Linked DNA regions of Arabidopsis thaliana. The protein of the gene in region 1 purifies or fractionates together with the protein of each later gene. This does not show direct contact. Each region holds a gene or a part of one and is shown in the gene's direction. Other genes may lie near its edges. The genes, in order: ACLB-2 and AT4G10320.

Evidence for each region.
Region 2: the proteins of ACLB-2 (region 1) and AT4G10320 fractionate together in Arabidopsis thaliana (co-fractionation; one large-scale study listed by BioGRID). This does not show direct contact.

Annotation. Positions count from the first base shown.
Region 1 is NC_003076.8:20,046,542-20,062,202, forward strand, and holds ACLB-2 (ATP citrate lyase subunit B 2), read left to right. Parts: upstream 1-7,959; 5' UTR 7,960-8,204; exon of another isoform or gene 8,205-8,392; intron 8,393-8,489; 5' UTR 8,490-8,506; coding exon 8,507-8,606; intron 8,607-8,685; coding exon 8,686-8,788; intron 8,789-8,871; coding exon 8,872-8,937; intron 8,938-9,026; coding exon 9,027-9,150; intron 9,151-9,226; coding exon 9,227-9,361; intron 9,362-9,450; coding exon 9,451-9,511; intron 9,512-9,596; coding exon 9,597-9,673; intron 9,674-9,808; coding exon 9,809-9,964; intron 9,965-10,055; coding exon 10,056-10,184; intron 10,185-10,264; coding exon 10,265-10,397; intron 10,398-10,546; coding exon 10,547-10,674; intron 10,675-10,785; coding exon 10,786-10,891; intron 10,892-10,977; coding exon 10,978-11,054; intron 11,055-11,138; coding exon 11,139-11,209; intron 11,210-11,293; coding exon 11,294-11,654; 3' UTR 11,655-12,014; downstream 12,015-15,661. Other genes in the region: AT5G49440 (uncharacterized protein), read left to right, coding at 2,377-2,922; bZIP1 (basic leucine-zipper 1), read left to right, coding at 5,604-6,041. UniProt on the Arabidopsis thaliana protein: ATP citrate-lyase is the primary enzyme responsible for the synthesis of cytosolic acetyl-CoA, used for the elongation of fatty acids and biosynthesis of isoprenoids, flavonoids and malonated derivatives.
Region 2 is NC_003075.7:6,392,938-6,410,194, reverse strand, and holds AT4G10320 (tRNA synthetase class I (I, L, M and V) family protein), read left to right. Parts: upstream 1-5,522; 5' UTR 5,523-5,685; coding exon 5,686-6,219; intron 6,220-6,308; coding exon 6,309-6,374; intron 6,375-6,462; coding exon 6,463-6,984; intron 6,985-7,155; coding exon 7,156-7,269; intron 7,270-7,413; coding exon 7,414-7,511; intron 7,512-7,867; coding exon 7,868-7,946; intron 7,947-8,045; coding exon 8,046-8,204; intron 8,205-8,472; coding exon 8,473-8,562; intron 8,563-8,640; coding exon 8,641-8,774; intron 8,775-9,288; coding exon 9,289-9,448; intron 9,449-9,571; coding exon 9,572-9,655; intron 9,656-9,753; coding exon 9,754-9,963; intron 9,964-10,072; coding exon 10,073-10,198; intron 10,199-10,284; coding exon 10,285-10,422; intron 10,423-10,513; coding exon 10,514-10,617; intron 10,618-10,708; coding exon 10,709-10,772; intron 10,773-10,918; coding exon 10,919-11,007; intron 11,008-11,113; coding exon 11,114-11,255; intron 11,256-11,348; coding exon 11,349-11,412; intron 11,413-11,487; and 13 more. Other genes in the region: LHCB5 (light harvesting complex of photosystem II 5), read right to left, coding at 699-959, 1,038-1,172, 1,279-1,399, 1,498-1,548, 1,638-1,722, 1,806-1,995; AT4G10330 (glycine-rich protein), read right to left, coding at 3,059-3,152, 3,239-3,389, 3,497-3,644; HKT1 (high-affinity K+ transporter 1), read right to left, coding at 14,528-14,741, 15,606-15,839, 17,115-17,257.

The DNA of each region.
Region 1 (15,661 bases):
AGAAAGTTTCAATCTTGTTGAAGCTTTTTAGTAGTTTGCGTTATTCGGTTTTTTAGTGTTTTTTGGGCAAGACAAAATTTCGGCAGAAGAAGGCGAAAGGATTGTGGAGAAACGCACTGGATAGAGAGAGAAGGGAAGAAACAGAGCACAACGCAAAAAAACGAACTCGAACCTAAAACGCTGCGTTTTGCTGATTTCATTCAATGGGTCACGTGCCATGGCCCATTATCATCAGATAGTTTTTGTTTTGTATTTGTTTCTTGATGCTTCAAACCAACAAAGTGGCTGTAGTTTAGTGGTAAGAATTCCACGTTGTGGCCGTGGAGACCTGGGCTCGAATCCCAGCAGCCACATTTTTTTTCTATTTATTCTTTTATCAAAAAGAGGCTTGGACTTATAGATTAGAATTCTACTAAGCCCATGGTTTTTGCCATCTAACTAATGGGCCGACATTTAATAAACAAAATCTAACCAACCAAAAACCAACCAGTTGCACTGAAATAAGAGTTCAAACCAACCTTGAAAGTAAATTTACAAGAGACATATATGGGTTGTTTAAAAACCAAAGTCAGAAAGAGTTTCATACTACCTTTTATTGTCTAAAAGAGTTTCATACTACCTAATTACATATATTTCAAAATAAACTAGATGATGTCCCAATGTCACATACACATTCAAATTGATTTTATAAAAAAAATTAATAGATTTAAATAAATTTTATCTTATGTACATTATGTTGAACACATAATAATCATATCGCGTCTTTACTTTTATCCAAAAAATTATATCGCGTATCATCATGCTTTAAATATGATATTATTAAAAATAAAAGATTATATTACCTAATTGAATATAAATCGATAAAATTTATACCATGTAAAGTAATGAACAAAAATTATATAAAATGATATATTGAGAAAATAAGGATTTATGTAGTGAACTTTATGTTGAGCTATATTTTTTTGGGGGGGGGGGGGAATTTGAGCTATATATTTGAATTGGTATTCTATGTAGTGAAATGATAAATTCTTACCATTTTTGACTGGTATCCTGCAAAATAAAAGATTATGGAACTTTCAAATTTTTATCAATATTTTACTCTGTTTAATTAGTACTTTGAAAAGTAACAAAATGTAAATTGATTTCTGCATTTTTAATCTCATAGCTTGTAATGTTATTAAAATAACAAGATAAAATATAAGAAAAAAAAATTATAAAACTTGTACACTCCAATAACATATAAAATATTTTAAATAAGTCAAAATTTAATCGATTTGTTGTTACGCGTTGCAACTTTATTACATATTTTAGAAAATTTGTCACGTGTCGGACTCTAAATAGACTCTTTCAACTATATAATAAAATACTTTGCCTAACTAAATATGAGCGATGATGTTATCTTCTATCCATCTATAGACATGAACGTTGTCGTTTGCATCCCAATTATGTAGAGTGGCTTTGTAATAATAAACTAAGAAGAGTTTGAGATGGAGAGATTTACGCAATGTTCTCTATTCTTTGTAACATGATCTCTCTCTTTTAAAGTTAGTAGAGAAAGAATTAACACAGACTTAACTCTTTTCTCTTTTTTTCGAAAAAAAAAAAATTAACACCAGAAAAGAAAATAATTTGGAGTATGTATTTCTATATGGCATATATACTACATATTGCTAAGTTTTATTAGTTTGGAAAAAAAAGATCCAACATTATTAATTAACAAAAATATGATAAATAACAATTAAAGAAAATGTAACTACAAAAGCTTGTAATCATAAATCATCCACGTAGATACGTCATATGTAAGCGTTAAGCAAACTTTTTTTTTTTTTGGTAAAAAGTTAAATTTTATACCATTTTAAGATTTTTGACAGAAGTTACAGAAAATACAAGAACGGATTAAAGCACACTACAGAAAATTAAAAACAACATTACTACTCAAAAAACTTCGGATTGCAGCTGAGTAATTATGACTAAGTTGCGAAGGGAAACACCGATTTCAAGTCCGCGAAACTTGGAAATTTGCGTGATTGCCACAATACCGAAGTATTGGAATCCTCATCGTTGTTGCCACGAGCTCAACTATCTGAGATCCGTCCACAAACCTCGAGATAGGTGCCTACAGATTCTCAAAGAACTAACGCAAAAACGTAAAGACAACCGCGGACTTCTACACTAACTCGTTGAGTTAGTGATGCCACTTAGACCTATCCGCCGCCTCTATTCAACCCTCGGTGAACATAGCCATAACACCCAAAGGCTCACCTTCACCAAATGAACCAACACCGACAACACCATGAACAACAAAACTCCACCTGAAAGCAAACCAGAGATGAAGCAAAAGGGACGAAACCCAATGGACACAGAGAATCCATACCCATGGCCGAAGAGGCTACCACCCTCAACTGCCCACCAATGGAGGAGAGACGTCGACCACCAAACAAAACCCACAACGCCACTAACCACCACGAACAATCCACAAGAGCCAAACGACTCCTTGGATTGCCTCCACAAGAGAAGCCCGTCGGATCAATCACACCATCACCAGAGCTGGAGAAAAAACAGGTAGAGAGACCCGAGAAGAGAAGATCTGCCACACCGAAAACTCACCGTTGTGCCCAAATCAAAGAAGAACGACGATGTCTGAAGAAACATGGCGATGCACCACCAATTTATCAGATCTGGAAGATGGTCCCGTCGATAGGAGCCGCACAACCGCTACAGTCGTCTCATCAAAGCCACTGCCTTAAACGGAGAGAGACACGCCGCACGTCCTTTGCTCCGTGCGTGACCACTCGCCGCATACCACCAACAAGAGACGAAGAGCAAGCCAGATTTGAACACCACCGGAGCTTCAAAGGAGAGGCAGAGGAGATAAGAGAGAGGAAAGGAGAAGAGGGAGAAGCCCTCTCCGGCCACCGGTGAGAAGCACCGTGACCGGAGAGGCACAGATCTAGATTTGGTTTTGGTTTACTGTAGCGTCGTTCTCGCTTAATCAATCGCCGCGCGTGATCTTCTTTAAATACTTGAGTGTATATATGTTCCGCGTTAAGCAAACTTCTCACTCTGTTTATCAGATGTCATCCATAGAAATTGTCTAACAAATTGGATGATGTAATCATCATCATCATCATCATCATGAATCGTGATAACTACGAGAATATACTAATTGTCGGATCAGCAATTATCTATATTGAACCCATTAAAAGATTATAAATGTCTGTATACAAAGAAGTCGAAGACGATAAATCATATATATATATTCTGTACACATAGGTATTTGCTATAACGTTAGAAGGATTATAAAATTCTATATTTGAAACACTTGATTGACTTTCTAGAGCACACACAAAACTACTGTTAAAACAAAGAAAACAAAAATAAGAATGCAAACTTTCTTAATACGATAAACAGGAGCAAATGTTTTTATTTGTTAAACTTGATTTAGTTCACGTTCTTAGATAAATGTGTTAGAATTTGAGAAGTTTTATTTCTGTTTTGTACTTGTCTTCTTAAAATTAGATATAGGGTTCAAAAAAAAAACTTGCATGTTTATTCTATCATTTAGTTTATACACATACATTTTAAACTATAAATTAGGATTCTAATATGACAACAACACTTTTAAAACAAACCACTAAGTTTCAACCACAATTTGGAACTAATAATTAAAAAAATAATTAAGAAAGTTGATAGAGAAATATCAATGGCAAAAAAAAGAGAAACTACAACACTCCCTAAAACCCAAAACATTAAATTTCAATATATCATGTATATGATTACAAATTTAACAAATTTCATAAAAAAAACAAAGAAATATGTAACCAGTAGTTTAAACAATAATGGTGGTAATAGTCAATTGGTTAAACCTATTTAACTCCACATTTTCTACTGGAGTTTGACTTTATTAAATCACGTTATTTGGATAATAGTTAGGGATTATCTATAGATCAGATCTTATTAATGAAAATATGTCAAACAAAAATAATAATAAATTTGTTATCTAAATAAAACTTTTAATATACTTTACCACGTTATAAACACTTAAAATAAAATAACAATTAACAGCAATTTACATGTAGATTTCTGCATTAGTTTTTTCATTTTTTTCTAGTTTGTTCAAAACCTCAAATATCAAGATTGACTCAGACCCGAACAAAAGGTCCGTAGAACCTAAACAAATTTCTAAAACTAGCCAACCAATGAAGTGCATCTACTTTTTTTTTATGAAAAATAATTATATTGAAGTATTTTATTTATCTGATAAATAAATAATGATATATAGTTTATCGGTGAGCAGATAAGGATCGTGTATTTTCAAGTATTATATTAATTAATAAATTATCGCCCATCTTCTATTGTTTTGTATTTTCATTTGAAAAGAAAGCAGGGCTGGCTTATCAATATATACAGTCTCTTTCTTTTAGTTTACTAAAATCATTTCAGATAAGACCCACACAAAAGTAATATCAAATGGAATTTTGCTTTCAACATGGATAATTTTCTTTAATAATAAAATTGTCAACCATGTTAAGCGTAATCTCTAAATCCCCAAAATTAAAAACACTAAAAATAGTCGGTCATTGCTCCACGTTTAACCTGTCCAATTCCAAAAGAACTTCGTGTTTCATTGACGATATAGTTTACGTACGTATGATTCTTTCTAAATGAGGTATTTTTGTCCCATTAGCAATTTAAAATTTAAAATGGTTGTGTAACTTTTTGAAATGCTTAGTAGTTAAAACCGAACTAAGAAGAAATAATGATCGGAACGTGTTTATGTCAGCTAATGCATTACCCACTGACATTAACTGATCCAGTTTACTGATTTTAGACAATCATACTCTATTTTTACTGGAGTTGCAGAAAAAGGGACTTACAAAACGATGAATTAAATTTGGACAAGTATATATACATAATTAGAAGGTTATAGAATCTAGTTTTCGTAGGATATTTCTTGAATTATCCTACGAGTGTGACAACTAAATGCACAACAAAACAACAATTTAAATGCTAAAAAGCAAAAATAGTAATTACTGGTCACCTATTAAGGAACAACACCAACACCTATTTAGCTGTTATGTCCTAATAAAAATAAAATAAAATAAAAACAATAAACCAAAAAAGTAAAAAATAAAAATGTTTGACTAAAATTCTCTTTCTTTTCCGATTCGTCATTCGATGAATCTTCCTTTCTTATACAATTTGGATAATCTTTTCTAATGTAAAAATTCGAGATTTTTTTTTATAATGTTAAATCTATAAATAAGAGCAACCTAAAACGAACAACTTCTCCCACTTTCCTTATTTTCGATCTTATCCTTATCTTCTTCCTTGTTCTATTTCTCTTCTAACTAATCTCTTCTCTTCTCTTAAAATCAAACGTAATCATAAATAAAGATCTTCTTGTTTAATTTCTCTTGATCCTCGCAAAATCACAGATTCTTGAAATTCTTTTTTCTTGTCTTGAAATTCTTGAGTTCTTGAGTTATGAAAAGACAATGGACAGAGTTATGAAATGATAAATCTCAACCAATTCCTTGTTTATCATTCTATATCAGTTGTGATTCTTCATTGGTTTTACGTTATCTCTTGAACAAAAAAACATGGCAAACGCAGAGAAGACAAGTTCAGGTTCCGACATAGATGAGAAGAAAAGAAAACGCAAGTTATCAAACCGCGAATCTGCAAGGAGGTCGCGTTTGAAGAAACAGAAGTTAATGGAAGACACGATTCATGAGATCTCCAGTCTTGAACGACGAATCAAAGAGAACAGTGAGAGATGTCGAGCTGTAAAACAGAGGCTTGACTCGGTCGAAACGGAGAACGCGGGTCTTAGATCGGAGAAGATTTGGCTCTCGAGTTACGTTAGCGATTTAGAGAATATGATTGCTACGACGAGTTTAACGCTGACGCAGAGTGGTGGTGGCGATTGTGTCGACGATCAGAACGCAAACGCGGGAATAGCGGTTGGAGATTGTAGACGTACACCGTGGAAATTGAGTTGTGGTTCTCTACAACCAATGGCGTCCTTTAAGACATGAGATTTGTGTATTAGTGTGTGTTTTACTTTGGTCATTTTATAGTTTTTGTAATCTTTTTATATCGAATTGTTTCTTCTCATTACTTTCTGAATTCTGATACAATTGCATATCTTATTGTTTTCAACATTTTCATTTAACGTTATATGATTTTCGGTGGTTAACCCGAAAGAAAAAAAAAAAGTTTTTTTGGTACCTTGCATGTAAATGGCAGAACTGATGAAGTAATCAAAATTGAAGCAAAAAGTGGGGAAGTAGTATATGTTCTGGTCATAATTGAGTATTACCGATAAAAATTGCTTTGGTAACACGATAACAATTTTTTGTGTCAAATTTTTCAATTTTATGAATAATTCAAAATAATATAGGGCTTGAATGGTATGTGTCTTATTTGCATGTTCATGTGTTTCAAAACGTGATTTTGCCGAGTGTATACCATTCACAATAATAACCACGGAGTGATAAACCGTGAAAATTAATAAGCTATTTTCCAATCTATTTCGCATGTGTTAAATGTATAACTAACTAGTTTAGACAAAGTCATTTATTAAGTAGCTTTTTGGCGTGTTAAGTTTATTCCGTTTTGAATTTTGTCGTCCTGGTGATTCCGCTATTGTATTGTTCAGTTATTCAACTAATGTACCAGTCAAGTCTTTACCCCTTAGTTTAGAGTTTTCTCGTTTTGATGGGTTTGATTGGTATGTGAGATGGATAGCTGAACAATAGAATAACTAAATAATGGTTAGCTGAATGAAATGAACTAAAGAAAGTTTATGTAGAATGATTATAAATTGCTAAAAAAAACTAGTTATTGTAGATTAATCACGTTTCTTAGTTATAATTTTTAATACGCTAGTGCTATATAATGGAATCATTTTTTTAAACATGAAAACGTTAAAACTTGATAAAATTTTGAAAGGTAAAAATAGCGGAATCACGTTTTAAAAACGTGACCACGTGAACTGGTATACGGTAAACCATTCAAGCCCATAGATTAATGAAAATGTGATAATTATAAGATTTTTCTATCTTTTTCAACATGGAGTATTCTAAACGCGTAGGAGTTTAATTGATTTTAAGTGATTTATTTGTCTATAAATGTTATATATATATTCGATGTATAGAACAATAGATGAACTATCATAAACCATAAAATTCAATGATTTCAAATATGATCGAGGTGATTTTTTAGCTCTAGTGATATGTCTATCAATTTCAAGAAAAATCGCCTCCTTAAACTGAAACAATTCGTAGAGCATATCCGTTCTTTGTAGGAGTATGAAATATGCAACCACAAGTCCACAGCAATGGTCAGGAATGAAATATGCGACCACAAGTCCACAGCAATGGTCAGGAAACCTCACAACGGCATAAGTTTATCTTCCCGATAATTCTTTTCGCTCAGAAAATAGACCATATGACAAGTCACAAAACAAAAAGTCCGTAAGACATAGTCTTAGTATGATAACGTTCTAGATCAAGCAAGAGAAAGTGACATAAGTATGCATATATTCGTGTAGAGCTCATCTATATATGCACAATAAATCTTTATCACTTTACTTCAATATATACGAACATAAGTTTTATTGCACAATTGATTAACCACTTTCACTTCCATAAGAAAGTATAAGCCAAAAAAAGAGTCCTCCTCTCTTTCTATCATTCTCTCCAAGTATTCATTAGTCATGTTTCTTTACATTTATTTATGTTTGTGATTAGGAAGAAATTATAACACGTTCTAACTTTTAAAATACTTCAAAAACACATTAAACAATGTTTTGATGAATGCGTGATTCACAATCTTCAAAAAATATTGCTGAATCTTGAAGACAAAACAGCCTATTCATTAACACCACCAGCAAGGACGACATGTTAACGACCAAAATTGCAATAAAATAAAACAAAAGATGTTACAAAAACAAATTTGTAATAAAAAAAAACTGTTAGGTGTTTCTCTTTGTCAATGTAAGATAGAGAAATCAATTTTGGGTAGAAAGAAGTTGTGAACTAACTACCTACCAATAAGCCACATGACTGTGAGAAGCTTTTGTTTCCCTCCCATTTCTCTATATTAATGGTGCTTCCTCTCTAAACCATTCCTCTCTCTTTCTCTCTACCACCATTTATTCTCTCCTTAATCACTGACTCGACTCGGGTCGTGACCAGGTCTGTTCTCTTCTAACAATTCGTAACTTTTTTTCTTAGATCTGTCTTGATTCCGATTCGTGTTTTTGATACCAAAGTTTCGATATTTACGAGGAGGGTTGCGTAAAAATCGGAACTTTTTTTCTTTCTCAATCCCAGATTCGTTAATGGAGTAATGAGATCTGTTTGTTAGTGATTATCGAATTAGTGTAATGTTGCCTAATTTCGAATTCGACATTGAGATAGGAACAATTTATAGCTTGTGGATCTGATCATTGTCTCTCTTTTGTTTGTTGTGATTCTCAGTTTTTTCTATCTGAGCTATGGCAACGGGACAGCTTTTTTCTCGTACCACACAAGCTTTGTTCTACAACTATAAGCAGCTTCCTGTTCAACGAATGCTCGATTTCGACTTTCTCTGTGGTAACATAACAATTTACATTGTCTAGTTTTCAGTTGGTTTGGATCAAGTTTTGATGTTAAAGATGATTTGCTTTTACAGGACGTGAAACGCCTTCTGTTGCTGGAATCATAAATCCTGGTTCTGAAGGTTTTCAAAAGCTCTTTTTCGGGCAGGAGGAAATCGCTATCCCTGTTCATGCCGCGTAAGTTTTGAGAATGTCATGTGAGTTCTTGAGAGGAACTAACTATGTGAAAATTTTGTTTTAACTTGTTTTCTGTTATACAGCATTGAGGCAGCTTGTGCTGCGCATCCAACAGCGGATGTATTCATCAACTTTGCATCTTTTAGGAGGTTTGTTATGAGAATTTCATGGAATAAACTTAGCATTGCCTCTTTGTGATAGTTTTGTTGATGTTTTCATTCTTTCTTCTGTTTTATAGTGCTGCTGCTTCATCCATGGCTGCTTTGAAGCAGCCGACTATTAAAGTTGTGGCAATTATAGCTGAAGGTGTTCCAGAATCAGACACTAAGCAGCTGATTGCGTATGCTCGTGCAAACAATAAGGTGTGTTTTGTGTGATGATTAGCTTCAGTTAACCGTATGGTGAACTTAATTTGTGAGACTGATTGAATTGGTTCAGGTTGTTATTGGACCGGCTACTGTTGGAGGTATTCAAGCTGGAGCCTTTAAGATTGGTGATACTGCAGGAACAATTGATAACATTATCCAGTGCAAGCTATACAGACCTGGATCTGTTGGTTTTGTCTCCAAATCTGTATGTGCTGATTTTGCAAAATTTCATAATCTGCCTAAAGCTCACTTTGATGTCTGAGAGTTTTATTCGTTACTCTTCTTTTCCCGCAGGGTGGAATGTCTAATGAAATGTACAATACTGTTGCCCGTGTGACTGATGGGATCTACGAAGGTGAGTTTTAATGTAAGATAATCTACTAATGACGTATTAAGCTGAAGATTGTTAACACTGTTTTATATTTGGGGGATTGTTATAGGCATTGCTATTGGTGGAGACGTGTTCCCAGGATCGACTTTATCTGACCACATCCTTCGGTTTAACAACATCCCACAGGTATATACCAATCTTCAATTGTTTAACCTGCTGCTCGCTGGAACGCGCCTCTGGTGGTGGAGTTTTGATGTTACAAATTGAACTTATATTCACTCTTTCAATTCATTATGCCTTAATTCAAGAGCTATGTTGCAGATAAAAATGATGGTTGTACTTGGAGAGCTTGGAGGAAGAGATGAATACTCTCTTGTTGAAGCTTTGAAAGAGGGAAAAGTCAATAAACCTGTGGTTGCTTGGGTCAGTGGAACTTGTGCACGACTCTTCAAGTCTGAAGTACAGTTTGGTCATGCAGTAAGTGGCGCGGAAGAACTTTCAAAGCAATGCCTTTTTTTTATCTCTTGTACAAATCAAAATAGTTCTTGAACATGTTATATATGAATAGGGTGCCAAAAGTGGCGGCGAGATGGAGTCTGCACAAGCCAAGAATCAAGCTCTCATAGATGCTGGAGCTATTGTTCCCACTTCATTTGAAGCTCTAGAATCTGCAATCAAAGAGACTTTTGAGAAACTGGTTAGTTTTCCCGTGTTATTCGCTAGCTGGCATTGACTTCTGTTGCAATCTTATGTGTTCTTTTCAATTACTCTTAAAAGGTTGAAGAAGGAAAGGTCTCTCCTATCAAGGAAGTCATTCCTCCACAAATCCCTGAGGATCTCAATTCTGCAATTAAGAGTGGGAAAGTCCGGGCTCCTACTCACATCATCTCCACCATATCTGATGACAGAGGTATTGTTATGGACACTAAACCATATTCTAAGGAGTTGAAACACAGAGAAATTGGCAAATGAGTTACACAGAACATAGATTCATATGCCTCTTTAAGCCCATTTTCTGACACTAAACTACAAAATTTGTCTTCTCATATTAATCTGCAGGGGAGGAACCATGCTATGCTGGTGTTCCAATGTCTTCCATCATCGAACAAGGCTATGGAGTGGGTGATGTCATTTCCCTTCTATGGTTCAAACGTAGTCTACCTCGTTACTGTACAAAATTCATTGAGGTATCAGTTTCTCTCTTTGCCTTTTTAACCTATTCTTTCTCACTACATACATACTGTTACGTAGTGAAATTTGACTCTGGTCTGCAACTTTTGATAATTCTTCTGAATTAGATATGCATAATGCTGTGTGCTGATCACGGTCCATGCGTCTCCGGCGCTCACAACACCATTGTAACAGCAAGAGCAGGCAAAGACCTCGTCTCAAGTCTTGTCTCAGGTCAGTCAACATTTTTTTTCCCCCACAAAACACATAAGTTCTCTTTACCGTCCAACAATCTCTAAGAATGTTAAACCATAAAACAGGTTTATTGACCATTGGTCCCCGATTTGGTGGTGCCATTGATGACGCTGCTCGATACTTCAAAGACGCGTGTGACAGGGTAAAAGGCTATATCATTTTCCCCAATATAAATTTCTGAATCTGAATTGTAATTGGTATTAATAACATTGGTTGCTTGTTTCAGAATCTCACACCTTATGAATTTGTTGAGGGAATGAAGAAAAAGGGAATCCGAGTCCCCGGGATTGGACACAGGTAGAAAACAGAACATTGTACCAAAGAAACAGGCAAATCCACACAGCTTGTCTTGTCTGAAAACTGTTTTCTTCTTTATGGTAGGATCAAGAGCAGAGACAACAGAGACAAAAGAGTGGAGCTTCTTCAGAAATTTGCTCGGTCCAACTTCCCATCAGTGAAGTACATGGAGTACGCAGTGACAGTGGAGACATACACGCTCTCAAAGGCAAACAACCTCGTACTCAACGTTGATGGAGCCATTGGATCTCTCTTCTTGGACCTTCTAGCTGGAAGTGGGATGTTCACTAAACAAGAGATTGACGAGATTGTTCAGATCGGTTATCTCAACGGTCTGTTTGTTCTTGCTCGCTCCATCGGTTTGATCGGGCACACGTTTGATCAGAAGAGATTGAAGCAGCCACTGTATCGTCACCCATGGGAAGATGTGTTGTACACCAAGTAAAACTCATTTCAATCCTATTTTTGTTATTATTCCAATTAATTAGCCTTTTAAAATTCTTCTGAGAGATGTTTACTTAAAAAATGCATATCTATATGCTCTTCTTCTGTCTCTTTTGTTGTCATGTATGTTTGTTCACTTCTTCTTCTTTTTTCAATTATTTAAACTTTCTTTGTCTCTCTTTCTCTGTTACATCCAAATCACCATTTTTTGGGATTCTATGAGTCATGCTCATGCATGTCTATATCTTAATCGTGATTTGTCCTTCGAAATGTTGGTGATCTACCAAGTACAACTACCAAATTGTAGTCCAACCATATCAAAGCAAATATATATCTATATTACCAACTCATAGAATCTATAACCTCTCCTCTGTTTATGGATATAGATGCGTCGACGACGTTCTTTATTTCATCATTAAACAATATGTGATGTTTTGTATTCTGATTTTTCAAGTGATTAGGTTTTTATTTTGCATGTCCAAACTCTTTTTTTGTTAAATTCATGTCTAAACTTATATGAATAAAACAAAACTTCCCACCTATTCCTTCATTAGGTTAAGAATTCGGTTAAGTTTCTATTTTCAGACACGTAATTTGTTTGGTGCCATACTTCTTTTTTTACCAACTACTCTAATATCTTATATGAGGAAAACATATATGTATATATATATATATATATGGTCAAATATCTATATAGATATAGATATATATTTGGTCAGTAACTTAAATATCTTAGATGAGCTAGGGATCTTGTTGTCCACTCGCTACAGAAATTAATTTTGATTAGGATGGGTGTCGAACTGTCGAATCTTCTAAGTATCCGTGACTTGATTTTTAAAAGTTTGGTTATAAATGAATGTATACATGTAGATTTTACAATGACATTATTGCGAGTTTTAATACATGTAACAAGAATGGTCACTGGATTATCCATTTCAAACTTCTTATTTTTTGATTACCTCCACAAAAGAATAATGATGAGATGGAGAAAAACAAGAGAGAGGGGGAAAGAGTTGACATTTGGAGCCAATAAGAGCTTGGACGCACGCGATCACAAGATTTAATTAAATTATTAAGTGTATTCTTAATTAAGCACCTTCATTTCAGTGATGACGACGTTAATTTGCATATTATCAAAGCTATATCGATGGAGAACTAATATTTTTCATTACAAACAACGAAAAATTTACATATATATCAAAGCTAAATCGTTGGGGAACTAATATCTTCATTAGAAACAACGAAAAATTTGCATACTAAAGCTATATCGATTGAAACATATATCTTCAAGGATTATTTTCTTGAGAAGATAGAACATGTCCATCTTCAAAACAAAACCCTGTATTATCATGTACCCGTTTAGATTATTTTGTTTTCAGTACCCGTTTTGTCAAATATGTGTATATAATTCATTTTACTTTGTAACTATATTAATGTAGGAGACTTGGAATTATTTCTGTAAAAAAAAATTTTAGTAAGAGCATGCATGTATCTACTTTATCTTGAAAGTCAAAATTTTCTATTATAAAAAACTTGTTTATTATCGTCAATTCTTCAAAATAGCATACTTCTCAAAAACGGAAGTGATAATTGGAAATAACTCAAGAGAAAAAAAAACGTAAGTAATGAAATAACTCATTGGTGATTCCCGTCTCTGATTTGATCCAGACTTTACTCTCTTCCTCCACGTTAGCTCCAAAGGTGATACTGGACTTGTTAAAATTGATTCTTTGCCTTGTAGCATTACTGTAAATCTTGAAGATATTCTTAATCACAGCCACCTCATTTCTATCCGCTTTACACATAAATAGACTGTCATCTGCGAATAGAAGGTGATGGATAGCTGGTCCATTTGGAGAGAACCTGATACTACTGATGAGGCATTGACATTCAGCCCGATTCATAAGGTGAGTGAGATCTTCTGAGCACAAGACGAACAGAAACGGTGAAAGAATATCTAATTGATTAGAAGTGAGAAGGAGACCGAAGTGATCATAAACATGATCCATTGCACCCATTTCTGATGGAATCTCAGCGCCTCTAGCAAAGCTTTAACATAATTCCACTCCACTTTGTCAAAAGCTTTTGACATGTCTGATTTGATGGCTATGAACTCTTTTGACACAGTTCGATGAGTATGCAACCCGTGAACAACCTCATGAGCTATGAGAATGTTATCTGAAATCAACCTATCAGTCACAAAGGCGGATTGATTAGGAGAAACCAGATCAGAGAGAAAGGGTTGGAGACGTCTAACCATAATCATTGAGATGATCTTGTACAGAACTGAACACAAACTTATAGGTCTCAAATCAGACATCTTGACAGGATTTTTCTTTTTTGGCAGCAAACATAACTGAGTGAAGTTCCATTCTTTAGGAAAGGTACCTTGAAGAAAGAAACTCTGCACCTCCAAAATAACTTGAGATCCTATGATACTCCAATATTTCTGGAAGAAAAAACCAGTAAAACCATCAGCTCCCGGAGCACTAGAGCTTCTTATCCCAAAAACTGCCTCTCTCACTTCATTCTTAGAGACTGAAGCTGTAAGCACTGTATTCATTCCATCAGTGACCCGAGAAGGATAATCTGCAAAAAGATCCTCAAAGCTGCGAGGGTCCGAAGATGTGAACAGTTCTTTAAAATAAGCTTCAGCAATAATCCCTTTTGTCGCCTCATCTTTGTGGAGATTGCCATTAACATCACATAGCTGATTAATATTCTGCTTCCCTCTGTTGTCTTTTACAGAAGCGTGGAAGAAAGAGGTATTCTTGTCACCACTATGCATCCACTTTGCTCTGCTTTTTTGACTCCAAAAGGTTTCTTCATCTTGATTTGCTTTACAGAGATCATTTTTGAGAGTCCAAACCACCTCAGTACTCGGGAAAGCAGAGGACTGTTCCACCTTAAGCGCAGCTCTAGCCTGAGTAATTCTTGTCAAAGAGTTGGAGTTGTTCTCCCTTTTCCACCTACTCAAGGCTGACCGACAATTCTTCAGTTTCTCCAGCACTAAAGGCCTATTCTGACTATGAATCCCATTCCAAGCTTGAGAAATGACTTCTTTCACATTCGGTTGGTTGAAAAGTCTTTTATCAAACCTGAAATTTCCCCTATACTCCTCCGTGATCTTAAACAGTCTAACAAGAACTGGCCGATGGTCAGAACCTCTCTTATCCAAAAATTCTTGAAAAGAAGCTGGAAAAGTCCTGAACCAATTCTTGTTACCAAAACAACGGTCTAGACGACTTTGAATCCACATGTCACTTCTCTTACCACCCCACGTAAAGGGATTACCTTTACTTGACAGCTCCAGCATTTCACAACTCTCCAACATATCTTTGAAGGGTAAGAAAGCAGAATCTCCCCTTCTAGGACCACCTCTCTTCTCTCCATTATGCAGAATGGCATTGAAGTCCCCTAGCATACACAAAAGTTTTTAAACAAAAGTTTTCACTACCTTTTCTCTCTCTAAAAGCTCTCTTTTCTCTCTAAAAGTAAATCTAGATCTCAGTTTGCGTTGGTTGGCTCCGGTGGCTTCCATAGCGCCGGAGCTATGCCTCTCTTGCTCTCCTGTAAACTTTATGGTTCTTTTGTTTGGTTTATGTGCGTTTTAGTGTAGTGATTTAAGGTGGTTCTTAGATGGCTCATGTTGTTTTTGTGGGTTGGTCGTCTCTGTTGCTTGTAGCGCCTCTTGATCCGATTTGGTTTAACCTTCTTCTCGTTTAGCCTATTACCAGGTATGGTGGTTGCTTTCGCTTCTGTCCGGTTCGATCTCCTACCGTTTATCTTCTTCGGTGTGGTTCAGATTGATTTGGTTCTCTCCTTGTCTCTACTCTAAAGATCTTATCGAGATCTCATATGTTCATTGGCTGGTTTCCTTTGAGGCGCTAAACAATCATATTCTTTGATTTTGCCGCTCCGGGAGTGTAGGTGTGACTTGTCGTCTTTGGCCTAGTTCTTCTCGCCGGTATGGATTCCTTGGAACTCTTCTATGTAAGGTAGTCTTCA
Region 2 (17,257 bases), on another chromosome or scaffold:
TAAATGTTGGTTAGATGTGACAAAATATCAAGCAATATAAATGCTTGATTTGCTTAAAATGGTTATCACTTATTGAACCTTTGATCTGACAGTGAAAACATTCTTATTTTGAATCGAAGCAAATGTACATGCCTAGCTAGAGTTTAGAATCCAATTGGGGTTGTGATTTCTGCAACTTCAAAGCTCACAGAGTGAAAACACTAATTTGTGTTTTGCAATCGAAGCAAAATTCACATTTTTATGACACATCGGTATTACTGTATGAGACATGCAATTGTTGAGAGTGAGTAATACTAGTTCTTTACAATGTAAGAATGATTAATTAGTTGTGAAAATATTCTGCTACTGCTCATTGCTATTTGATCTTCTGCTACTTAATATTGTTCAACGGATCACATCTCTCGACTAACTTATATAGTCCCAAATTCCATCACAATATTAGTTGTGAAACTTTTTACCATACTCGCCACTAGTGATAAAATCGCAATGTATGACTAAATTGTGACAGAGCGTTCTTGGTAACAACAAATATTAAACCAATGGGTGACTATGTATATCCTTAGAAGCATGATAAAGCACCATTGAAAATTTGAAATATATCAAGAAGATTCAGATGGAAGTTTTTTTAACATTGTCAAAAGGAGTTCCAATCGAACAAAGTGTACATTTTGGAAGCTCTTAAAAAAAGTAGAAATGGCTTAGAGAGTGGGAGCTCTCTCGGCAGTTCCAGCGATGACGGTAAGCAAGTTGTTTCCAAAAGGATCACTGAGATGCTTTGCAAGGTTCTCAACAGGACCTTCTCCGGTAACATACGCTTGGATAAAGAAACCGAGCATCGCAAACATGGCTAATCTCCCGTTCTTGATCTCTTTGACTTTGAGAAGAGCTCCTTGCTCAGGGTCCTTAGCAAGGCCTAGAGGATCAAATGGACCTCCTGGGTGTAGCTTGTCCTCGAAATCCTACCAAATATTTGCATTTCAAGTTTAGTCATTTTCCCATGAGTAATAGCTAAATGTAGAGACTAGAGAGTAATGTACCAATCCGTTGGTGATTCTGTAGTACTCGGCTCCACCGAGGAGAACAACCTCAGCAACTACGGCGAGAACAAGGTTGATAGGGATGTTCTTGCCAAAGTAGTTCAATGTGTTTCCATCAAGAAGCAAAGCACCAGTCTGCAATCAGTATTCCAAAAAGAACCATCTCATCACATCAACACATTCTTGCTTTGCTAAAGAATCTAAGTCTGAATGTAAATAAAGATTAGACGTAGGCAAGAACCTTAAACCAGACAGCTTCAGGGCCACAGTTAGCGCCATATTTGTTTAAAGCTTCAGGAATGATGAAACCAGCTGCTCCTAACATAGCCCATCTCGCATGGATCAATTCAAAAGCTTGGTATCTACAACCACATTCATTAAAGAACCAATCTTAATGACAAATTCGATAGATATAGCTCAAAGCAAACACAAAAGGTTTAGGATAAAAGAATCTACTTACTTAGCAAAGTTCTCAGGCTTCTTTCCAAGACCAAATGGGTCATAACCATAACTGCAAATTCAGATTCAGACCAATAAACCTTAAGCACAGAATCCAAAAGTAGGCATACATACAAAGAGAGACATGAAAAAGTGTCTTACTCTCCAGCAACTTCACCGTTTAAGTACTCTGGGATCTCTGATCTATCCAAAAGACCATCAGGCAAGAAAATTCTCCTGTCAGGACCTGCATAAGAGTCACAATTACAAACACATTCACAAAGAAACAGAGCAAGAAATGATTATAAAAGGGATTTAGAAGACACATACCATACCACTTGGCGAGCTCATCGCTAGTCTCAGAGACAGCCTTGGACTTAGCAGGAGCTGGCTTTTTCTTAGAGAAGAGAGCAACAGTCTTGAACGTGGATGGGCTTGATGCCAACGGAGCAGACGATCTTGAAACTGCCCTGAAGTTAAGGGGAGTACCAAGCATTTCCGACACACCCAAAGACGCCATTCTTTTAGTCCAAAGTTTCAAGCTTTACTCTGGTTTAACACTAGGAAGAGCTAAGTGAAAGAAGGAGGAAGAGACGAAACTGCTCCTATAAGGTGGAGAGTAGGATTCGTTCAGGATTTTGATTGGTCTGGATTGAAAATGTGAAATATGATTCTGTCCTCTGATTGGTTGTGGATGCTGATGTGGCTTTTAGATTGGTTTTTGTTGGATAATTTATTTTATCCATATCCTCTGTTTCTCCTTTTGTGTGGCTAAGCTTTCACCTATACAGCAAAATGTGTTACAAGAATCTCAAACACATGAAAATCTCAACTGTTAAATGTCATCCACAAGCCTTTCACAGTCCTAGTTGGGGTTTTCAGTAAATTCCTTGGGACATTTGGAATCACTGTGGTCCTGTTTACTACCGTAATGTAGACGACAACCGGAATTTTCATATAGACGTAAAACTCCCAAGCTCAACGGTTAGATTTTCACATTGTATCAACAGTTATGAACATACTCATTACACCAAAAAGAGAAACGAATCATCCGACTAGTCCTAGACGTGAACATACTCTTTCTACAAGGAGTTTCCCACAATTCTATAACATATACATCATGTGGATCGAAACTGAAGCGATTGAGCCGCAGGATCATGTACATAGAGAATACGAAAATTTAATCATCTTGGTTCACAGTGCCGGTTCACACACAGTACTACGGTAGAATCGAAAGAGCTATAATGAATTTATGCCCTTTGGCCCTAGAGCTGAGCTCACTGTGCCACTATACGCACTATTCTACCTCCTTAAACTGAGAGAAAATCTCAAACTCAACCTCCATATTGATCCAAGTTGAGCCATAAAGAACAACTCATAGCACCAAAAATCAGCACTCAAACCATACACATTACCAGAATGATAAATCAGCCACCTAAATTATGCGAATCCATCTTTATACCATACGTAAAATTGTACAAAAAGAAAGGAGATTATCACTAGCCCCAAATCTACATTATTGATCTAAGAACAAACCAAACACTACCATTTACTTGGAAGCTGCAACAAATCCTAAAAGTTCATCATTTTAACCACTTGTCGATTTCATTTGTAGTAGCTTTCACAAGCTTCTTCGTGCTAACAACAAGTTCATCAATCAGTGAATCAACTTCATTCCTGTCAACAAATCACCAAAGTCAAAATCATCATCTTCTTCTTCAAATCCTTAATCACTAAAAATCTAATTGCAGACAAATACTCACAGAGATGGTTTTCCAACGTTGTAATAAGAACGAGAGTGATCATAAGCAGCTCCTCTTCCAACACCATAGCCAAAACCTACACCAATTCCACAACCAGCTCCAAATCCAAGACCAAATTGTAATCCAGGAACTCCTGGTCCGAATCCTACACCTGTTTTCATCAAACCAATCTCTACTCTCTTAAACCAAAACTATCTATAAATAGCTTCGAGCGATTCGCGAGTCTGCGATCAAAATTGGGAGAAATTAGAAATTTACCTCCGATAAGACCGGCGCCGAAACCAAATCCGCAACCGACACCGAGTCCAAAAGCTGGACCAACTTTTCCAATGTCTCTGATCCTAACTTGGGGAAGTTTCCAGAGCAATCCTTTGTCATCGTCTCCGGTTCTTCTTCTGTTGCTCATCGTCCCTTTCGCTCTCTCTTTCGGCGTGGATTCGCCAATACATACTTTAAATGGGCCTATATTATAAGGCGCACTCTTATTTCTCAAGGCCCAACTTCAGCCCAATAGTCATATAGATCTCATTTCACAAGCGATATTTGTTATGTTTATTTTATTTTAATCTTTTGTTTTATATCATAATGAATTTTATAGAAGATATCTGTTATGTTTATATTCATAATGAATTTGTTTTATATCATAATAATATGGATTTTCATTAACAACATTTTTTTTAATACATAAAACTAAAAAACCCACAATTATTCTCAAATTTTCACTTTGTTTTCAGTTACTTTATATATATTTGCCAAACATATTATATAATATATGAAGATTTGTTCTTACATATATTTAATGGATTGATGCCTCATTAGTTTTATTCTCAATTTCAAAACTAAAATTAATAACAAATCTTTCGTAAAACTATTAAATTTTAGATTCAACTAGATTAAACTCCATCCAATATGCATGTTTAATTTTTAAAACTAAAATAAATTTAACAAAAAGATATATTAAAATCTTATTGTAAGTAGAAAATAAATATATAATATTTTATTTTGAGAATTGTTTATTTATATATTCGTTTTTTCCTTATTCGAAAAATATTATACATGGAAATTACTAGTCAAATCATCATCTAATTTACATCTATTTACAAATCTATCGTCTACTTTACCACTAAAAATGTGTTTACTCACAATCATATTTTCTTGTTGAAGTATTCTCATTCCCACCACGTATAAAATGATTATATGAATGCATAAAGCCAACTACATGTGTTTTTATTTTCACTTTCACATAGTTTTTTAACCACTAAAATTATTGATTCATAAAATATTTTGAAAGAAAATATATCACATAGCAATAATTAATGATTTATTTATAAGAAAAACTAGAATAAGTAAAAATTACTCGATCGCAATGAGTCTATAATAAACCAATAAAGGTTGAGAAATTTGATTGGACAAAATTATAAGCACAATGATAAAAGATTAAGGCTTATAGATTCTATCGCAAGTAATAATTCTTTTCATTTTATATAAAACTATTTTGCATTTAAAAATATGTTTATCATTATTTGTTGCATATTTTGTACGAGAAAATTATTTGAAAAAATTCTATGCATGTTTTAATGTTAAAAAAAACTCTGTTGAGTGTATTCACGAGCCACTCAATGTAATTTTTATCTGATGTGAACATAATATATGCCTAAAGAAAAGTTTGAAACTCACCCTTATATTCAGATTGATGTTGTGGACTAATGTTGAAATATATTCTAGTATAAGTTCTAGACCACATGATTTCATATAAACTTAGGTCCAACTTTCACCAATTATTATGAAACATTTGTATTGGGTCTTAAATTTTTGCGACCCATTTGCAGATATTTTTGTTTTGTTTAAGCCTCGAAATTAGCAAAACTACCCCAAAATTAACAAAAATGCCCCATAATTAACAAAAATACCTTATAATTAGTAAAAAGTTCCATAATTGACAAAAAATGTCCAAAAATTAATAAATAAAAATTATCAATGTCTCATAATTAGGAAAAATAAATCAGTTTTTATTTTAGAAAAGCGTCAATTTGTTTTGTATTTGGCCTTGGATTTTAGATTTTAGTACATTTCTTATTATATTAAAGTATGTATATTAATCAATATTAAACTACTATCTTATTGATCATCATTTAACAGTTTATTCATCTAATATTTTCATCATTATTCATCTAATTCATCTGGTTCAGTATATCAACCACCATTTGACAGTTTCATAATAGTCAAAATATTTTCCTTCTTCCTTAAATCGATTTTTTAATACCAATAAGTGGAAGTTTGACCCAAAAAGAAAACAAACAAGTTAATGGGCTTACTACGGCCCATTAATAAACAAAAACGCACCAAAACTTCATCTTCAACGCCGGGGACTTTGATATCATCTGCGCCGAACAAAAACTCTGCAGAAACCCTAATTTTCGTCAGTGATTGATTCTTCCGTTTCCACCATGGAAGAAGTATGCGAAGGAAAAGAATTCTCATTCCCTCGTCAAGAAGAAGATGTCCTCTCCTTCTGGACTGAAATCGATGCTTTCAAGACACAGCTCAAACGCACTGAGAATCTTCCTGAGTACATCTTCTACGACGGACCTCCTTTTGCCACCGGACTTCCTCACTACGGACATATCCTCGCTGGTACGATTAAAGATATTGTGACTCGGTATCAGACCATGACTGGTCACCATGTCACTCGTCGGTTTGGGTGGGATTGTCATGGCTTACCTGTTGAGAATGAGATTGATCGGAAATTGAATATTAAGAGGAGAGATGAAGTTATTAAGATGGGAATTGATAAGTATAATGAAGAGTGTAGGAGTATTGTGACTCGTTATGTTGCTGAGTGGGAGAAGGTTATTACTAGGTGTGGTCGTTGGATTGATTTTAAGAATGATTATAAGACTATGGATTTGCCTTTTATGGAAAGTGTTTGGTGGGTTTTTTCTCAGCTTTGGGAGAAGAATCTTGTTTACAGAGGATTCAAGGTTTGTTTGGCATTCTTCTTCCTGCATTGATGTGGTTTTGAAGTTTCGTGGATCGTGATTTTTGTATTTGGGTCAATTCTGGTTTGCAGGTTATGCCGTACAGTACTGGTTGTAAGACACCTTTATCTAATTTTGAAGCTGGTCAGAACTATAAGGTAATGTTGTTGTTATTGTGTTCTTCAGGTGATTGATTTGTGTTGTATAGTTTGATCTCTGATATTGGTAGAATGTGTGTATGTACAGGAAGTCCCTGATCCTGAAATCATGGTGACTTTTCCGGTTATTGGGGATCAAGATAATGCTGCTTTTGTGGCATGGACTACTACTCCGTGGACTCTTCCAAGCAATCTTGCTTTGTGTGTAAATGCGAAGTTTGTCTATGTGAAGGTTCGTAACAAGAACACTGGAAAAGTGTACATTGTTGCTGAATCTCGGTTGTCTGCTCTTCCCACTGATAAGCCTAAGGCCAAGTTAAGTAATGGACCTGCTGGTGATACTAAGAAAGCAAATCCTAAAGCTAAAGGTGCTAAACCTGAGAGTGCAGCTGATTCTTATGAAGTTTTGGAGAAATTTAATGGAGCTTCCCTGGTTGGGAAGAAGTATGAACCTTTGTTTGATTACTTTAGTGATTTCTCAAGTGAGGCCTTTCGAGTAGTAGCAGATGATTATGTCACTGATGACAGTGGTACTGGTATTGTCCACTGTGCTCCTGCCTTTGGTGAAGATGATTATCGTGTTTGTCTTTTGAACAAAATAATCAAAAAGGTTAGGTTTGACTACATCTTCCTTATCACCCTTGCTAACATCAGGCATGAACTTTGCTCATTTGTTGTTTCTCTCTTGTTTAGGCTTACAGTATCTTCAAGAACCCATTCTCAGTTTACTCTAATAATCTTGCTTTATCTCATTGTGTTAAATGTTCTATATATGTTGCAGGGGGAGAATCTAGTTGTTGCTGTTGATGATGATGGGTTGTTTACTGAGAGAATTACCCACTTCAGTGGCCGTTATGTCAAAGATGCAGACAAGGATATAATTGAAGCCGTTAAGGTGATTACCGATGCTTGATAATTAGTCAGTTCAGATCATAATGATTTATCTGTTTCTTAGAGAATCTAAGTGCTTTTTGGACCATTGGATTTCTTTACTGTAGGTGATTTGTTTCATGAAGTAATATTATTTTTATTATTTCAGGCCAAGGGCAGGCTTGTTAAAACGGGAAGCTTTACTCACTCATACCCATTTTGCTGGCGATCAGACACCCCACTCATATATAGAGCAGTTCCAAGTTGGTATGCTTCATTTTCATATGAGTTTGAGCTAAGGTCTTAGTAGTTGGATCATTTAGTGCTAGTTCCAGTGAGACGGTCTCTCTTGTCCTTGCCTTGAACTTTGGCTCTTATGATTATATCTGGCAGCCCCTTTTCGGAGCTGTATTAGGTATCTTTGTGTATTTTTTTTGCAGAATAATCACCAAACTGTTTAGGATATTTTGATTTCCCATGTTTTCATTTATTTATTTTAGATTTCATATGTAGCATCTGACCTAAATGGCACGTAGTTATGGTCATAACTTATGAACTTTATTCTGTCGTTTTTCAGGTGTGGTTATGACTTTAAAGTTTTTTTTTGTGTTTTGACCTGTTAGGTTTGTGCGTGTGGAGCAGTTGAAAGAAAAGTTGTTAAAAAGCAATGAACAGACAGAATGGGTACCTGGTTATGTGAAGGTCGGTAGAAGAAAGGATCAGTACTCTGAGTATATATTACTAGTTCGTTTTGTTAAGTTTCTGATATGAATACATTTTTTTGATTAATGTGCAATTCAGGATAAACGTTTTCACAATTGGCTCGAAAATGCAAGGGATTGGGCAATCAGCCGAAGTAGATTTTGGGGCACGCCTCTTCCGATATGGATAAGTGATGATGGGGAGGAAGTTGTGATCATGGATTCCGTAGAGAAGCTTGAAAAGCTCTCTGGTGTTAAGGTCTCTTCTTTTGTTTTATTTACATCTCTCTTTATATCAGCAAATAGCTCACTGATGCTTTGGGAAAGTCTACTGTCATGATCTCGGTACCTTTATATGCAACCATTTGCTACTACTCAACTGTTGGATAAATTTTTCTAGAAGTCTTCCTTATATGTTCTGTCAACTTTATGACACTCTATGAGGGTTTGGTCTTTATTTAGTACTGGAGAATGTAGTTGTCAAAAAGTCTAATACTCATTTGTTTCTCTGATGATTTATGGTACAGGTCTTTGACCTGCATCGTCACCATATTGATCATATTACAATTCCATCTAGTCGTGGCGATGAGTTTGGTGTGCTCCGTCGTGTAGAAGATGTAAGATGAACCAATTTCTTTCATTTATCACTTATCCGGGGTCTTATCCCAAGCTTAAGTTTATATACGCTTTTACAGGTTTTTGATTGTTGGTTTGAGAGTGGGTCAATGCCTTACGCGTATATCCATTATCCGTTTGAAAACAAGGAGTTATTTGAGAAGAACTTTCCTGGTGATTTTGTGGCTGAAGGTCTTGATCAGACTCGTGGATGGTATGTCATTCCATATCTTGACTGTGGGGAGAAATATTAGTTAAGCTTTAGCATTTAAAATTATTGGATTGATATTTTGGTGGTTACGTGATGAAAAAAGGTTGCTTTTTATTAAGGTCTTTGAGAATGGAAATAAACCTTTTACCTTGTAGTATTGCAAATCTTAGTTAGTGTTTATCATGTCAACCCAAGATAGTTGCAAAAAACCCATATCATTTCAGTTCTCATATTTTTTCAAGAGTGGATTTCTACATTGATATATCCTATAAGCTCTTCTGACAAATTATTTCTTGCTTATCTCTGGGTTTGTTCCGTCCCTCTACTTTATGATATCTGGATCTTAGTTACCTCAATGATTGCACTTAATTAAGTTATGAGTCGATGCTAAAGGAAGGTGTGATCAATTTACTATGAAATGTGATTCTAGAAGTGTTTTGAAACGGGCATAATAAACAATATTTTTTTCCTAAGTAGAAAATAAATAGTTACTAAACTTGTCGCTGGGTATCTACAGGTTTTATACTCTTATGGTGTTGTCTACTGCATTATTTGAAAAACCAGCGTTTAAAAATCTGATTTGCAATGGTCTTGTACTTGCTGAGGATGGGAAAAAGATGGCTAAGAAATTACGGAATTATCCACCACCTTTGGAAGTCATAGATGAGTATGGGGCTGTAAGTTTTCCCTATAATATGCTCTTGTGCTGCGTTTTGAGCTTTTTCAAATGTTCTCTAGCTAAGAAAATCTTGGCAGTGTGTGTACGTAATAACTTAGTGACTTTACATGAACCTTGATAGGATGCTGTGCGATTGTACCTGATAAATTCTCCGGTTGTACGTGCTGAGCCACTACGCTTCAAAAAAGAAGGAGTACTCGGTGTTGTGAGTGATTTTGGTGGTTGAATTTATTGCTGCTTTATTGCTGTTTATTCGTGGTTGTTGTCTGAATTTTTTTCTGGTCCTGCATTGGGATTCACTAGGTCAAAGATGTATTCCTTCCATGGTACAATGCATATCGGTTCCTCGTTCAGAATGCAAAGAGACTTGAGACTGAAGGTGGTGTGCCCTTTGTTCCTACTGATCTGGCAACTATACAGTCAGCAAACATTCTTGATCAGTGGATTCACTCAGCTACGCAGAGTCTTGTTCGTTTTGTCCGCGAGGAGATGGATGCCTATCGGCTTTACACTGTAAGGTTTTTACATGTTATTTTCAGCATGATATGGTGTTCGCATTAGAAAACCGCCATCACTGTCTCCTGGTATTTATTACATCTTGGTTTTTGTTTTTCTTGTTTAGGTGGTTCCTCGTCTCTTGAAGTTCCTCGACAATCTCACTAACATATATGTCAGATTCAACCGCAAGAGATTAAAAGGCCGTACGGGGGAAGATGATTGTCACACTGCTCTTTCGACTCTATTCAATGTATACTAAAAATAGTTGCAGAGATATATTGTTTGTGGTCACCATGATTTGAACACTTGTTATATCTAATTATTGTCTATTTTCAGGTGCTCCTTACTTCTTGCAAAGTGATGGCCCCGTTTACACCTTTCTTCACTGAAACTTTGTACCAGAATCTGCGGAAAGCGTGTAAAGGTTCTGAGGAAAGTGTTCACTACTGCAGTATTCCACCAAGGGAAGGAATGGTAAGACTCAAGTCCACGTCTCTATATCCAATAAGAGAATAAAAGTAATCTGAATTTTGCCTGCTTATATTTTCTTTCTGTGTTTGAATAGGAAGGGGAGAGGATTGAGTTAAGTGTTACGAGGATGATGAAAATCATTGATCTTGCTCGGAACATTCGTGAGCGTAACAAACTACCCTTGAAAACTCCTCTAAAGTGAGTGTTGGTACTTGATCGTTTTCAGTTTCTGCTTTGTTAACCTAAAACATGAAAAAAAATTCACACATGCTTATCCTTGTTGTATCAGGGAAATGATTGTAGTCCATCCCGATGCTGATTTCTTAAATGACATAACTGGAGTACTAAGAGAGGTCTGTGGTGTTACAGGAACAGTAGTTTATCTTCTTGAAGTTTTAACTAATATTATAAATATGAAACTTTTTGAGATTATTGAGAACCATTTGATATCAGCCAATGATAGCTATGTGGATTTATCCTGTTTAATTTTGCATTGCAGTATGTCTTGGAAGAACTTAACGTGAGATCGCTTGTACCATGCAATGATACTCTGAAGTATGCATCACTAAAAGCAGAACCAGATTTCAGGTTGGTTAAGTTTTCTGTCTGTGTTTTTCTTTAAACCGCTGAGCTCAATGTGCTTTAGCCTTTCCAAAGGGATGTAGAGTGAAATTTTACATGTTCATTCCTGCAGTGTATTGGGAAAGCGACTTGGAAAGTCGATGGGGCTTGTTGCAAAGGAAGTTAAAGAAATGTCTCAAAAAGATATCTTAGCATTTGAGGAGGCTGGGGAAGTTACTATTGCTAACCACTTGCTAAAGGAAACAGATATCAAGGTCTCTCATGCTATGATGTTTTCCTGTGAGATAGCGTTAAGAGTATGTTGTTAATAGCTAAATTCTGACACATATCTTTCATGTGTTGTTCAGATTGTTAGGGTTTTCAAACGCCCAGACGATTTGAAAGAGAATGAGATTGATTCAGCTGGAGATGGTAAGAAGCGTAATTAATTATCACTTCTCTGTTGGTAGGATACACATATAATACTTGCTTTCTTTCATGATGCAGGTGATGTTTTGGTGATTCTGGATCTACGAGCAGATGATTCTTTGGTTGAAGCAGGTTTTGCCCGTGAGGTAAAGATATATAACTTCTCTAATAGTGTACTAGTCCTAGATGAAACCAAAGCAATACATTTTCTTATAACTTGTATATCTTCTGTGGGGTTCTTCTTCAGTATCTTAATATTTTATTTGCATATAAAGCGATGTTGTGCTTATGAGCTTAGTTTCCCTGTGTTAAAGATTGTAAACAGGATCCAGAAACTAAGGAAAAAGTCAGGTCTGGAACCAACAGACTTTGTGGAAGTGTACTTCCAATCATTGGACGAGGATGAATCTGTTTCTAAACAAGTTCTAGTCTCTCAGGTAACTAGTTTTTGTTTGTTACTCAATTCATCTGAACTTAAATTCTACTTGAAATTTACGAATGTTTCATTGCTTGTACGTAATTATTTGTTCAGCTATGGATCAAACGAAAATTTATGTTTCCAACATGAATGTCTTCAACCACATGCCTTAATTCTGTCTCATCACTGTTGTTTGTTGAACAGGAACAAAACATCAAGGATTCAATTGGCTCCACTTTACTTTTGTCTAGTTTAATGCCATCACATGCAGTAAGTCATCAACACTCCCATATCTGCTTATTTATTTGCACGGCAGAAGCTTAATGTTTATCCTCCTATCTTTTATGTAACAGGTCATAATAGCCGATGAGACATTCACCCCAAAAGAAACATCCGATGAGAGTGTCAAAAAGGTTCCAAAGTTGTCGTATAAGATAAGTTTGGCTAGACCGGCTTTGAAGTTCAATGAAGAGGCTGTTCTTGCTTTATACTCAGGTGAGTCACCATCTCATCACAATAGATTCTCACTGTCAATTCTCTCTCGCTTTCTGTTTAACGTGTATATTTATGGTTCCAGGAGATGTGAAATCTGCAACCGGGCTTCAAACATACTTGTTATCAAGGGATCATTCGAATTTGAAGTCAGAGTTCCAAGCCGGAGATGGGAAGGTTCGTTAGTTAAGCTTTTGTTAACCCAAATCGTTTACTTTATCATTTTAATGTATCTTGTATGGCAGATAACTGTAAGCTGCATTGAAAATGTGCCTGTTGCGACTGTGGTTCTTGGCGAACATCTCCATTTGAGTGTCGGCGATGACTTATTGAGCAAGAGGAACGCATGAGCCGTCCCTCCGGTTTTGTTTGATTTATTGTGGTAACTTGGGATTTATTTCCCTTATTTTTCTTCTTCCATATCTTACCTATAAACTACTTATTTAGATTGTTGCAAAAAGTTAAATCTCAGTGTTGAGACTCTCTTTTACTCGTTCTATTTGTACAATACTAAACTTTTATTCATCTCAAAATTTATGGTTGGACAGATATGTGATTGAGTCCAGTGACCAAAGTTGAACATTGATTTTAGTACAGAGAAGGCAAGAATCTTGTTAAAATCTGAAATTACCTTAACAAAATTTGATTAATGTTTCGGTTGTCATTTGGGTCTTAAAACCATGGGATTCCTGATGCCTATGTCCATTTAATTATGGTCAGCTTTTGGACAAGCGACATGGGCAGCCCATAGTTTTTAATATTACACTTATGAAGTATTGTACTTATATTTTTAATATTAAACTTATGAAGTATTGAAATTATATCATTGTGTGAAACACTTAAGACTTAAGTATGGAGTTTTGAATAAATGTGTTCATGATATCATGTATTATTTGGATTCATGGACTGTCCAATCTATTATGGTTCTTTTTAGGTTTCGTCTAATTTAGACATTGCTCATTTGGGCATGGACAACCCATTTGATATCCTACCTTTAAAGGATCCAGATTTTCGTTAAAAGCATTGAAGGTAACATTAAATCTTAGAAACTATGTCTAGAGAGATCAGAGATGTGTTAGTCAAGTGACAAAAAAAAAATCTGATCATATTCGTTCATGGAAGAGACCCATTGTCAAATCATGCTTCCTTTACCACCCTTCACCAAAGTTACGTGCACTTAATTTACGCCATTTAACTTCATTTTTATAATTATGTTTTCATACATTTCGAAATTGTTTATAAGCAAATCAAATTTGAAAATAAAGCAATTAAAAAAATAGATATGATATTAAGATTAAAAAACATAAAGTAATAAACTTAATTAGACCTATATTTTAGATTTTGGTTAGCATTTTTTTTTTTTTTTGCGGATTTATGCTAGATCGGTTTTGAGAATCAGGGTCTTACTAACATGTGTAGTTTCAATATTAATCGATCAGAATCAAGGTCATACGTTCATCATCATCACATATATATTTCCGTAATATTTTCTAACTTATTTTTCTTATCTATAAGATCTTAACTAAAAACGATAAACATGTGATGATCATGATACGTTTGTGGTATATATATGTTCATGATCATTTACTTGACTCGGCCATCAGCCAATTCTTTTTATTCACGACACAAAAGTAATGAACAATGCACGGATTCTTCGAAATGAAAGAGGATCCGTGGCACAAGCTTCTAGTTTTAGGATCCTGCACTTGAAATACAAGGTTCCTTTACCTAAAAAAAAGAGAGAGAGTTGTGGATGAAACATATGGAAGGAGATTTGCAGTTTCATCATCGAAACATGATATCTGGATCTGAACATGTATAAAAGAAGACATGTGTGTCAAACTGAGAGTGGAGATGTGTTTTGCCTCCTCCCATATTAGCAATCACATATATTTCTTTATTCAATTCCATTATGTTTTTTTTGGTTTTTGTTTTTAAGTAACTTTCCTGTATATATATTACTGATTGGTTACTATTTGTACGATACATATCAAACAGATAAAGTTTAATTTTTCGAATTACAAGTTACAACAGGAAACACAAGATGACACACAATACTCCTTATATTATATCTTCATACATTATCATAATATTAACGAGGATTAACGATGATGCAAACTACATACAAACTTATTGTACATCACTCACAGAAAAGGAATGCTAAAAGTGACTAATTTTAATATAACATTTATATATGATCGAAATATGTTAGGAAGACGAGGGGTAAAGAATCCATGCGCGGCCAGATTTGGCTGTGAACTGCTTAAACCTACCATAAAACATTACTATTATTAGTACGAATTTTCCCATTGGACTCCATCGTCCTGCAAACCCATAACTCGCGTCTTTGCAGCCACCATCGCTGATGTCCACACGCCGTTCACAGCTGTACCCGGTAGTGAAACCAACGTTTCCATATGCACTGCCATTACAAAACTTATTTTGTTGATAATTCTTAACTTCTAATTCACAATCAATTCATAATGAGTGAATTATATATATATATATATATTATATATATATATATGTTTCTTTTTATTTTATAAATTTATACTCGATAAATTAATAACCTCTATAAATTAATAAATTCTTCCGGTCCCGAGTTGGGAGTAGTATAAAAAATGACATAAATCGATAAATTAATTAGATAATAATTTTTTTGAAAGTCCTATGTAAATATATGGTCCATCAATATCAGAAATTAATAATTGCACAAATATATCAACTATATATATACATTATATGTAAGAAATTTCTTAAAAATATATTTCTGATATTTTTTTGCTTAAATTTGTATATATTCTTATTTGAAATTTAGTTCTAATATTTTACTATATCAAAACATATTGGTGTTGTTTTCTATACATGATATTATTTTTTACTTGTAATTGATTTTAGAAAGATATTTTCTATAATGAGAAATTTTTTCAAAGTTATTAAATTATGAAGATCTCTCTATTAATTTATTAATTTATCGATAAGTAAAAAATCTCTCTAAATTAATAAAATTTTGCAGTCCCAACATTATTAATTTATAGAGATTTTACTGTATATATGTTTCTTATACGATTTTATTCACGTCCTCTTTTTTTGTTAGGTGAATTACGAATACTTGGGTTGTCAAATTGTAGAATAATGTATCACCTAGATGACGTATTTTGTTTGAAAATATTTTGAAATTTTTAGTTATTATGGATGCATGATATGTAATATAGAGATTTATATATTGCTGAAACAATTTTTTTATTTGGTTTTGGTTAAAGAATCTTGAGATATAGAAACATACCTGATAACTTCGAGAGTGATGTTAAGGACGTTGAAATTTATCGGATCACGTTGTAGATTTTGCCTTTCGGTGATTGAAATGAGAAAGATACATATCGTCAAAAAGGAAAGTTGTGACACGATGAGTCCACTCTTTTTAACTTTCTTTCCATTTTCGGAATCATCATCTCCTCCTTCTTTCTCTATCGTCTTTTGTTCCGTCAACGGCATAAATAAAGTGTATGGAGGAAGATACCTTGGAAACGCAATTATATTTTACTTTTTAATTAGTCCAAAGAAGTTTTTATGGAAAAACAGAGAATAATGCTTTGTGAATATGATGAAGGGACATTCTCCAGTCTCCACTACATTGAAGGGACATTTTTTTTTTACTGAATCTAAAACCATGGACATATATTCTGATTCACTCTATCAAATCTTGTCTAGCTACCACATTCTCTTGTAGGTTCCTTAATTAATGGTTAATATAGATATATATAAATTCTTCTAAGTGAAAACATCAAAAAATTACTCTTAAGTGATGGAGAGTTTTATCAACTTATATATGTATTATGCCTTCTTTTTATTTATTTAATAAAGATGTATTATGACTATTTGTTTTAAGTTTTCCGGCGTTAATGTTTTTGTGGAAAGTTTGACAAGCATACTACTTTTTGTTTTGTTTGTTATTTTAAGAGCGTAAACTAATTTGTGGAAACCTTGAAAAATTCTATGAAATTTGTGTTTGTGGTGAAAAAATAAACTTCACAATCTCAATTTTTTATATTATTAGTATTTTTTTTGTTACAAGAATGATTTACCGAAATAAATACTAATTAATCTCCAAAAATTATAAATTAGCTTGGTATTCAAACTATTCATTAAATGTATAATTGCCAAGCATGGTTATAACTTAAATCTTACTTCCTCAATCCATGGGAGTGAATACTTTAACCAAATGGACCACGTTAGATATGTTAAAATTAATTTTGGTTAATAAAATATGCTTTCAATTGCTAAGCTGATTAATTGGTGGATTCAGCCAAAAGAATAGCACTAAAACTAATGCAAATCTATGGTTCTACCACCCCACTCATGCATGATTGGCCTTTACGTAGTAATTAAAAAAATCCTTAAATAAATCATAAACGTTTTTTTTTTTGGTATGGAATAAACAATAATAGTTAGGAAAATGTTTGCTTCATAAAAAAAAAAATTAGGTAAATGATTTGATAATTTTCCAAACTACATTACGTGAGATAATAATATGTTTGGTGTTTCTGTTGTGAAATGTCAACCAACTTTAATTCATGCGGTGACTTTTTATTGTTTCTGTAGTGAAATGTCAACCATTTAATTTCACTATATCTCAATTGTTTTAGTTTAATGTATTCGTAAAACTGCACCTATGTGTGCATGCATATCACCTCATATGTGAAAATTATGTCGAAATAAGTGCACCTTTCGATCTAAATATTTCGAGTTCATGCAAATGATTCGATATATGAGGAGAGGATTGAAAGAAACTTACATCATAAGAATAAAGAGTACCAAGATAGCTGGGGAAAGTGTAGAGAGGTCTACTATAGTTTCTCCGGTGTGTCGCGAATTCACCACTTGAAACAACGATCCAACCAACTTCTCGTACGAACTCATTCCTTCTAGAGACTCAGA